2 linked regions of the Caenorhabditis elegans genome follow. The protein of the gene in region 1 purifies or fractionates together with the protein of each later gene. This does not show direct contact. Each region holds a gene or a part of one and is shown in the gene's direction. Other genes may lie near its edges.

Region 1 (5,625 bases):
GAGATTTTTCCGGCTAAAAATCGCTGAAAATATTGATTTTGAACGATTTTTAGCCTGAAAAATTGCCGAAAATCCGCATTTTTTTGATGGAAAAAATACGAAAAAATCCAATTTCCCACCGATTTTCGACAAAAATCGCTGAAAATTCACTTTTTTTCAGAAAATTTCACGCAAAATGTCTAGAAAATATGAAAAAAGATCATTTTTTAGTTTAGTATAAAACCCGTAAAAAATCACAAAAACTGAAAATCTCGGCGAAAAATCGTATTTTTCCATGATTTTTCAGCTTTTTCCAGCAAAAATTGACTCAGACAACCGATTTTTAACAGTAAAAATCACAAATTTCTATATTTTTCGATTAAAAATGACTGAAATCTCATATTTTTCATGATTTTTCAGCATTTTCCATCAAAAATCGGCTGTAAAAACCGATTTTTAACTGAAAAAATCACAAATTTCTACATTTTTCCATTAAAAATGGCTAAAAATCGTATTTTTCCATGATTTTTCAGCTTTTTCCATTCAAAATCGGCTCAGAAAACCGATTTTTAACTGTAAAAATCACAAATTTCTACATTTTTCCATTAAAAATCGGCAAAGATATTGATTTTGAACGATTTTGAGCCGAAAAATCGCTGAAAATGCATGTTTTTCAGAAAATTTCACTCAAAATGTCTAGAAAATATGAAAAAAAAAGATCAATTTTTTAGTGTAAAACCCGTAAAAATTCATAAAAACTGAAAATCTCGGCCAAAAATAGTATTTTTCCATGATTTTTCAACTTTTTCCATCAAAAATCAGCTCTAAAAATCGATTTTTAACTGTAAAAATAACAAATTTCTACATTTTTCCATTAAAAATGGCTAAAAAGCATATTTCCCATGATTTTTCAGCTTTTTCCATCAAAAATCAGCTCTAAAAATCGATTTTTAACTGTAAAAATCACAAATTTCTACATTTTTCCATTAAAAATGACTAAAAAATCGTATTTTTCCATGATTTTTCAGCTTTTTCCATTCAAAATCGGCTCAGAAAACCGATTTTTAACTGTAAAAATCACAAATTTCTACATTTTTCCATTAAAAGTAGCTGAAATCTCATATTTTCCATGATTTTTCAGCTTTTTCATTCAAAATCAGCTCTAAAAATCGATTTTTAACTCTAAAAATCGCAGAAAATCCCAAATTTTCCATTTTTTCCAGCCAAACATCTTCTCCGAACCCCTACACAGATACAATTCTCTCGGATGAGCATCTCACCCAGTTGGCTCGAGATTTATCGAAATTTAAATCAAATCTCGCGAAATGCTTTGGCACAAAGCTCCCCGCCGATGACGTCACCAGTGATGAGAAGATTTGCTTTAAAATTCTCAAAAGTTGGGCTGAAAAGAATGGGAGAAGCGGGCGGAGTCTGTTGAATACGCTAATTACCGATTTGGATGTGATTGAGGTGGCTCAGGCGAGCATGAAGGTACGGTTTTTCAGCGAAAAAATGAAGAATTTCAGCGAAAAATCATTTTAAAAATGAAATTTAACGCGAAATTTCACAACAACCACATGGGTCTGCTAAATCGAAAATTGTAGTTTGTAGTCTAGCAGACCAGTTTTCATCAAAACCACTTGGGTCTGCTAATTCGAAGTTTGTAGTTTGTAGTCTAGCAGACCCATCCTTTTCAAAGCCACAATGGTCTGCTAAATCGAAACTTGTAGTTTGTAGTCTAGCAGAACCATTCTCTTCGAAACCTTATGGGTCTGCTAAATCGAAATTTGTTGTTTGTAGTCTAGCAGACCACTTTTTTTCAAAATCTCTTGGGTCTGCTAAATAGAAATGTGTAGTTTGTAGTTTAGTAGACCGCTTTTCATCAAAACCACATGGGCCTGCTAAATCGAAATGTGTAGTTTGTAGTCTAGCAGACCCATTTTGAATTCCTTTTTATTAAAAAAAAATAAATTTTGATTAAAAAACATTAATTTTAAAAATATCGAAATTTGCCGCTTTAATAAATCCTTTTTTTCAGAAAATCAACGAATCGACTGCATAATTCGCCTTCAAATTGCTGTAAAATCGGATTTCTTCATTATTTTTCACTTTAACTTATTAATTTTACCCTTAAATTTGTTTTTTTTTCGGTCTCATTGCCTGTTTTTTATTCATTTTTTCTCCTTTTTTTTTCATATCAAAATTTGTATTTTTACTATTTTTTTCTGCAATTTTTTCTTGTTAATGGCGTTTTTCATCGCCGGTTTTAACTTGAAATTTCTAATTTTCAGATTAATTTTAATGCCATTTTCAGCTTAAAAAATGCCTGCATTTTTTGTAAAAGCCGGCGCCAAAAAGAGCGGCGGTGGAGCTGCAGCGACTAGGAAAAGAGTGAGCTTTTCCTTCCTTTTTTCGCCAAAAAATTAAAATTTTTTATAGAAAAATGGTGGAAAATCGGATGCAAAAAGCGAGGAGATGGCCGCCAAAATGTCACGACGTCAGAAGATTATGGCAGCTACGGAAATTCATTCGGATGAGGAGGTTTATTCGCTGAAAAACTGAAAAAAAAAATGAGCAAAAATCGACGGATTTTCCGTTAAAAATCTAAATTTTTAGTGAAAAACTCTTGTTTTTTAACTAAAAAATTAGAAAAATTCAAATTTTTCAATATTTTCTTGTTCCAGGACTCACTCGCCGGAAGCGCCGCAGCATCAGAAGCCGGAAGTGACGTGGAATACGAGGATGCACACGAGAGAAATTATCGAGAAGCCAAGAAGCTTTTGGACAAGATTCAGGTGAAAAATGACTGAAAATCCGGGAATTTCACATCGAAAACCTGCGAAAATTACGAATTTTTCACCAGATTGACTGCTCAAAAATTCAATTTTAAGCTCAAAAATTCAATTTTAGAGCTAAAATTCATTTTTAAGCTCAAAAACCTTAATTTTAAGCTCAAAAATTCCAGATTTTCAGCCCAAAACTTCCCAAATTTCAGAGCACAACAACGACACAAGAGGAGGTGGCAGAGAAGCTCCGGGACGATGCAGTTGCACGTACAGGAACACAAGTTAAACGAGTTGCCGATGTGGTTGAGCTTGAAGATGATCTGGAAATTAGCTATAAACCACATAGGTACAGTAATCCGGCCCGTAACCTGAAAAAAATTTTGCGAAAAAACCAGAGTTTTCCAACTGAAAATGCTCAAAATTTCACTGAGAAAAATATAAAAATCGCTGAAATTTTGGAAAATTGAAGTCGTTTTTCATCGAATTTCATGCTTTTTTTTCAATTTTTAGCAAGAAATTGACTGAAAATTCAAAGTTTAAAGCTTGAAAACATACGAAAAACTGGAAAAATTTCAAATTTAAACTGAAAAATCGGAAATCTTCGACTTTTCCAGTCTCTACAGTACCCCCACTCCACCTACAGTAACCCGAAAAAGCTAGAAAATTGGAAAAAAATTGAGTTTCCTTGCTAAAAATCGAAGAAAATATGGAAAATGGGTCGAAATGCGCAATTTCAGTTATATCCAGAACTATAGTACCACTGTCACAACGATTTTCAGATTTTTTGAAATTTCTGGAGCTACAGTACCCCCACTCCCCCACCTACAGTAACCCAGATTCTTCCAGATTGTTCTTCCAGACTCCTACAGTACCCCGACCATATCCCGCCACCAACCCCAAAGCAATATCCCCCTTCAAAAGACGAAAATCCAAATTTTCCAAAACTACAGTAATCCTACAGTACTCCTACAGTACCTCTACAGTACTATTACAGTACCCCGACCATATCCCGCCACCAACCCCAAAGCAATATCCCCCTTCAAAAGACGAAAATCCAAATTTTCCAAAACTACAGTAATCCTACAGTACTCCTACAGTACCTCTACAGTACTATTACAGTACCCCGACCATATCCCGCCACCAACCCCAAAGCAATATCCCCCTTCAAAAGACGAAAATCCAAATTTTCCAAAACTACAGTAATCCTACAGTACTCCTACAGTACCTCTACAGTACTATTACAGTACCCCGACCATATCCCGCCACTAACCCCAAAACAATAACTCTTCAAAAGACGAAAAGTCATATTTTCCAAATCTACAGTAATCCTACAGTACTCCTACAGTACCTCTACAGTACTCCTACAGTAACCCGACCATATCCCTCCACTAACCCCAAAGCAATATCCCTTCAAAAGACGAAAATCCAGTTTTTCCAAAACTACAGTAATCCTACAGTACTCCTACAGTACCCCGACCATATCTCCCACTATCCCCAAGCCCTAATTCCTTCAAAAGACGAAAAGTCAAACTTTCTAAAACTACAGTAATCCTACAGTACTCTTACAGTACAAAATTCTTTTCCGATCTCTACAGTACCCCCACTCCCACCTACAGCAACCCAGCTTCTTCCAGATTGTCTCCGCTCTGTGTCGCCTTCTCACCAGATGCAAAATATGTGATTAGCTGTGGAAAAGAGTCGAGTATTGTCAAATGTAATCGATTTTTTGCCGGTTTTTAGTCAAAATTGCCAGTTTTCAGTCAACGTGGGCACCCGTAAAGTCGTCGGAATCATCAAAAGAACCAAAAAAAGAGCCGGAGTACCGGAAGAGCCGACAAATGCTCATTATGGAGTCATTTTCACTGTTGCAGTGTCGCCAGATCAGAAATTTATCGCTTCTGGTGGTTTTGATCAGGTTGTCAAGGTAAAAATGTGGAAAAAATCAGAAAAATAGCAAAAAAAGCCGATTTTTACCTGAAAAAAGCTCTAAAATCGATGAAATTTCACATTTTCTGGCTTTTAAAATTGAAATTTTGAGCTAAAATTGCAAAATAAGCCGATTTTTATCTGAAAAAACCTCGAAAATCGCAAAAATTTCACTTTTTTCCGATTTTAAAATTCAAACTTTGAGCTAAAATTGCAAAAAATTGACTTTTTTCCATCGAAATGCGTAAAAAATTAAATTTTTTACCTTAAAAAAGCTCAAAAATCTCTAAAATTTCACATTTTTTAACTTTTAAAATTCAAATTTTCAGATAAATGGCATTTTTTATACGAAAAACACTTTTAAAAATGCATTTTTAAACTTAAATTGTAGAAAATTGCCTATTTTCCACCAAAAAATTTGAAAAAAAATCAGTTTTTTAGGCACCTAAAAATATGAAAATTTTGTTTCAGATTTGGAATTTCGACAGTTTGGAGCACATCAAGGACCTCTCCGGACATCGTGGACCAATTTTTTCGCTCACTTTTCAGCTAAAAACCAATAATCTCTACTCGGCCAGTCAGGATCGATCTGTGAAGGTTAATAATTGGATTTTAAGCTGAAAATTAACATTTTCCACCGGAAAATTTGATTTTTCAGCTAAAAATGCACTAAAAATCTGGAAATTTGAGTTTTTCCAACTAAAAATCCGCGAAAAAATCCAATTTTCCATTGAAATTCTCACAATTTCCACCCATTTTCAGCCCAAATCTCTTCATTCCAGATGTGGGATATCGACCAGCTCGGACTCGTCGACACAATGTACGGACATCAGGACGGTGTCCAGCAGATTGGTGTACTGTCGAAACAGCGTGTGGCAACTGTTGGTGGAAGAGATCGTAGTGCGAGACTATGGAAAGTCGAGGATGAGAGTCA
Region 2 (5,518 bases), on another chromosome or scaffold:
AAAAATCCCCCTAAAAACTTCCGGCAAATTTCTGCTCGGCAAACGGAAAATCGGCAATTTGCCGAAGATCAAATTTTCCGGCAAATCGGCAAGCTGCCGGAAATTAATTTTTTTTTTTGAAAAAAAAACCGGCTGGTTTGCTGAACGGCAATTGCTGTTCATCCCTATACCTGCCTACCTACCGCCAATTCAGATAATGTGGTGAAAAATTTCACGAAAAAAAGAGCAAAAAGAAACTATAATTTTAAAACCGGAGTTTGAAACCGTCATCGTCGTTGTCATTAATACCATTATCATTATTGACATCAGGAATCACGCCATTTTGCTCCGTTATCATACACATCGTCATCATCATCATCGTCGTCAACACCCATCAAAAAAAATGTATAAAAGGTTTCACTCAAAAAGAGGGTTTTATCATTTTATCAAGACTTAAAAATGTCCTCGTAGTTTGACTATGATATCATTTTTCCATTATCACCATGTTTGCGTTTTCCTTTTTCCAAACATTTCTTTTGCACGGCGATGATGCTTGGCATTTTGCACTCGTGAAAGTTTCAGCTTGCCAGTGCGCCGCCGCGTTGTCCATGGCAATGCGGCATTTGTATTCAACGGCAGAAAATTGAGAGATTTGTTTCTCTCGCGTACCTCGCATGTTTTGATTTTTCGACCTCGGTTTGTCCCTCAAACAAAGAGAATCGTTTGTCGCCCTCACCGCGCACGCATATACGGAAAAATGCTACAATTTCAAGGCGTGATAGAGATCAGCTCTCCCGCTGATTTCTATCGATTCCAATAGAGATTTATTCACCTCATACGGCGGCATTAGTTTGGGCGGTGTTTTTTGGTGTTTGTTGTGTCCAAAATACGAAAACGGAAAACCTTCATTTCAGCTTAGTTTCTAAAATTGATTTTCTTTTATATAATTTTTTTCAATAATGCTGAATGCACGTGCTCGCCGGCTGCCCTTTTGCAATGAGACTATGCAAACGCGCCCGAATGCAAACGCTGCTGGTGGACCCCTCTCGGACATAAAATTATATTTCTTATTTTTTCGAATCTGTTTTTCTTTCATATTTTCGAAAAAAAATGACAATATTATTTGATGAAAAAACTACGAAAATTGGCAAAACCAAAAACAAAACCAAGGAAGGATTTCTGGCTTCCCTCATAAATTGAAATAAAAGAGTTTACCGAACTAGGCCATTTTGGCTCGGCCATATCTGGGGTAGATTTACGGCGCGTTGCTTGTCGCGTCGCGGCTCGAGTTTAGTTGTAAAACTAAATGTATTTGTCCGTGTGGAGTATACAACTTTGCCACGCGTTGTCCAGCAGGAGATTTGCAATAGAGCAAGAAAAATTCAATGAGGAAGGCCGGACCCCGTGAAAATTCGCAGAAAAGTAATGAAATCGAAACAGAAAACTCCGAGAGGACTACACGGCCGAGGATTTTTCCTCGTCCGCTCTTTTGTTAGGCCATTTTTTGAATTGGTAAACGGAGTTTTCTAGTCCCCGAAAATATAATTTAGACCAACCAGCGAGCACGTGCTGCCATTGTCGGACCAAAAAAAAAACGCCAAAAAACCGTGTATTTTTTTTTCGTTTTTTGATCCAAATGCTCATTTCGTCAAAACTGATGCCTACTTTGGCTGCCTACCTACGCCTACCTACCTACGTGCCTACATATCGCCTATTCTTTGCATTTTGGCGTCCAGTACTTCACTTTCCACAGAATAGATAAAAAAGTGTATTTTGACAAAAAAATTTATTTGACCTCGGCGCATTTGATCTCGAGAAAACGTGGCGATTTTTGTTTTTACCAGTTCCAAACTACATGTAACTTTGCCACGTCTGCCAGATTTGCGTTCCAACATGTCAAAATTTGGAAAAAAAAACCGTTGTTTACCGAATGACACACAAACACTTTTCCCCATCTCATTGCCCTCTTAATCTTTGCAAGGTTTCACAACATTTTGAGAATTCTGCTAAACCGTCTGCGTCTCTCATTCCTCCACCCTATTGTCACGGTTTTGCTATCTGTTTCTCTCGTTTTTTCGTGGTTTTTTCTCTTTTTATGACCTTGCGTGTATTTGCCAACTATTTTTTGTTTGTGGGCATTTTTTTTGGGGAAAAAGTTTGATTTCTGGATGATTTGAATATTCGTGTATTTTATAAGCTTTTTCCTAACTTTTCTACTTTCGTTCATTTCTGTTGTTTCAGCCGTAATCCGAACAGCATGGCTCGTCGTGTTAATAAGAAAAAGTCTCCTGTAAAAGCTGCCAGGAAAATTGATGGGCAAATCGGGAGACGAGTTGTGGACGGAGGTAAGAACCGAGAAAATTAACTGCAAGGTTCATGTTTTGTTTTGTCTAAACTTTCTCAAAATATGTTAAAATTTAGATTCAAATTTTTTTGTCACAATTTTTGTTTTTTTTTGGGAATTGGAATGTTTCCTAAACTAACCAAACATCATAGTAAACCTTTTGAAAATTTAGAAACTGTTTTTTTTCAATTAAAAAATGACACTTACTCAATTTCACTCATCATAAATTTGGATTCCAGCTAAAAAGAATCTAAAAAAATTATTTTTTCTACGAGTTTTAATTTTTTTGTGTTTAAACATTGTAGTGGTTAAAGCTAAGAACCTGGACCAGCTTTTGGAAATTTACCAAAACTTCCCATGAGAATTGCATATTATTGTGAATACACTATCTGTATTAATTTTTTTTAATTTAAATTTTCCATCACATTTCTTTGGTGCTAGCAATCAAATTTTAGAGATCCGATGATACTAGGTTTATTGGGTACTTGGTATTACATCAGGTTGATAATATTGTATTTCAAAAATATTACTACGTACGCTCGCGAGAGATGTGCAGTATTTTTTGTAGCAAAGAAAATGTAGGAAAAGGTTTGTTCTATATAAAATAGTTCATTTTTGTTGAACCGCTTCAAATAAGCATCAAGTAGTGCCTGAAAGTTGCCGTTTGCCAGAAAGGTGTCGTTAAAGTTTTTCAGCGAACGGCAACTTTCAGGCACTGTTTGAGGATTTTTTAAAAGCTTTTAAGCTTTTCAACAAAAATGAGTGCTACTTTCAGATAGAGCAAAAGTTTAACTACATTTCTATATTAATTTTGGATGAAAAAATGCTGCACAGCTCTGCTTCGCGCTTCCGAAAATGGCTTCAAAGAAAAACAAGCCTAGAAACACGATACAAATAATTCAATGAAATTTTTTGTTTAAATAATGTGTTATTTATTCCAGAATAAAAATTCCAATAGTTAAATTAGAATAGTTTCTGAATTATCCAAATTTTTTAGCTGAAAGTTTGCGAACATATTACAGTTCAAAATTTACAATATTGTAATATTGCCGTATTTCTTCCAATAGTGTGACACCCCATTGCTCAACTTTGACAGCTTATATCTCAATCGGCGTCTGTTTTATTGAAAAATGGTCAACTGATAAAACACTTGTTATATGTTTTTCTATATATTTGTAGTTAAAATTTTATTGACATTTTTTGATGGAACCAAGATATATTCGTTTAATGTAAAGTAGTTCGGTGCAATTCTATTAGATGAAATACGGTACATTCCAAAAATAAAATAATAGTCAAAAAAACACAGAATTTCAAGGTTGATATTCTTGAATTTCAGTCCGTGCCAAGTCGTCCCGTCAACGCCATCAAGCAGTTCTCTACCAGGCTCCCACTCCCACTGTGATTCGCCGTAAGACCACGAAAACGGCGATCGTCAAGAAAACAGTTGTAGTTGTGAAAAAGGGTGGAAAAGTTGTCAAGAAATCCTCTAAAACTGGTCAGAAAGTGAAAGCAGTGAAGGCGCCAAAAGTCAAAGCACCATCCAAGAAGGGAAATGATCGACTTACTCCACGTGTCATCACTGAGTACCAGGAGAATCCGTTTTTCTACGATCCTCAGGTTCCAGAGTACATCAGTGCCTCCGTCTACCACAGATGGATCACCAGAGCCGTTCGCAATGGAAATATGAAGGAAATCAAAGACTATTATAAGTCGAAGAAGTGCCAAAAATCTGCAATCTACACGAGCTTTGCCTATAGTTTCGACACTTCGGCGTGTGATGAAGCATTGAGGCAGGACATCAAATTTGCCACCGAGTTCTTCAAAATGAACAATAAAATGGAAGTTGATAATTCCTATCATCCGGGCAAAGAGCCGAATCTGTTGCAAAAGGTATGGTTTTTTTGAATTTAATTTTCTCTTTAAAAATGTTTTATTACAGAAAACCACCGGTCGCAAGAACTACTACATGCTCGGCCGCCACACGCGCCAGATTGAGATGGGAAGAGGTGGCAAAGAAGGAAACAATGCTCTTTTGAACTATGACACAAGGACCGATGAGCCAAATCCATTGACGAAGCTTATCGAGGATAATGTGACATACACTAAGTTGTATCAACTTTGCAAGATTCCAGACGGACGTGAGTTTTTAAAAAGTTTTTCGAGTGTCTTTAAACCTAATGATTTTCAGCGATTGTCGAACATCACATCGAAATGCACTTCGTCACTGCTGTTCGAATGGGCCACCGCGATCTTGCATCCGCGTTGGCACAGGGACCCGTCAAAATGCACTGCAACGATCTTCACCGTGCAACTCTGAAAGATCAGAAACTGCCCGCCAAAATCCTTCCAGTATCTGTTGCGAAAAAGGCGTACATGAATAAGAATATCACTCCACTTCACACTGCCGCCATTTCCAACTCCACCCATATGCTAGAAGCGATGAGAGCCGTCTACCCAACGATCAACATTCCGGATCAAGACAACTGGTATACGATGCACTATGCCGCGTGTGCTCCTGGAACTGCTCCTATGGAATTTCTTCTCAAAAACGGTGGATCTGTTACGATGCTCACCAAGCAAACCGAAACCCCACTGCATGTGGCTGCCAGAGCTGGAAGAGCTGTGAATTGCACATTTTTGATGAAGGAAATGCTGGATTTGGAGAAAGGAGACGACGGAGAGAGCACAATCAGAGCTGACAGATCTATCATCAATGCGAGAACTCGCTCTGGAAACTCTGCACTTCATTTGGCGGTGCTACGTAATAACCTTGACGTTGTTGATGCCTTGCTCGCCGAGCCAACCATCGTTGTAGACAATCCAACATCCACAGGACAAAACAGATTAACTCCATTGATGATGGCATGTGGAAAAGGATACCTAGAGATGGCGAAGAAGTTGGTTGAGAAGGGAGCATTGGTGGAAGGAAAAGATAAGAAAAAGCGTACCCCGTTAATCCACGCAATGCTCAATGGTCAGATTCACACTGCAGCCTTCCTCCTCGCCAAGGGAGCTAGTCTTACTCTCGCGGATTCGTCTGGAAATACTGCTGCTCACTACGCTGCTGCATATGGATTTTTGGACTGCTTAAAGCTTCTTGCCTCAATTGATGATAATATTCTATCCGAGCCAAATGACTGGCAGCTTTATCCATTGTCCGTTGCATATCTCAAAGGTCATTATGGAATTGTTACG

Evidence for each region. The genes of interacting proteins can lie anywhere in the genome.
Region 2: the proteins of T02H6.1 (region 1) and tank-1 fractionate together in Caenorhabditis elegans (co-fractionation; one large-scale study listed by BioGRID). This does not show direct contact.

Annotation. Positions count from the first base shown.
Region 1 is NC_003280.10:707,088-712,712, forward strand, and holds the start of T02H6.1 (WD_REPEATS_REGION domain-containing protein), read left to right. Parts: upstream 1-2,293; 5' UTR 2,294-2,301; coding exon 2,302-2,370; intron 2,371-2,418; coding exon 2,419-2,520; intron 2,521-2,663; coding exon 2,664-2,774; intron 2,775-2,974; coding exon 2,975-3,111; intron 3,112-4,399; coding exon 4,400-4,479; intron 4,480-4,525; coding exon 4,526-4,689; intron 4,690-5,162; coding exon 5,163-5,288; intron 5,289-5,473; coding exon 5,474-5,625. Other genes in the region: thoc-1 (Death domain-containing protein), read left to right, coding at 1,203-1,521.
Region 2 is NC_003283.11:1,282,403-1,287,920, reverse strand, and holds the start of tank-1 (Poly [ADP-ribose] polymerase tankyrase), read left to right. Parts: upstream 1-2,220; 5' UTR 2,221-2,236; coding exon 2,237-2,324; intron 2,325-3,659; coding exon 3,660-4,213; intron 4,214-4,262; coding exon 4,263-4,461; intron 4,462-4,511; coding exon 4,512-5,518. UniProt on the Caenorhabditis elegans protein: Poly[ADP-ribose] polymerases modify various nuclear proteins by poly(ADP-ribosyl)ation, a post-translational modification synthesized after DNA damage that appears as an obligatory step in a detection/signaling pathway leading to the reparation of DNA strand breaks and programmed cell death.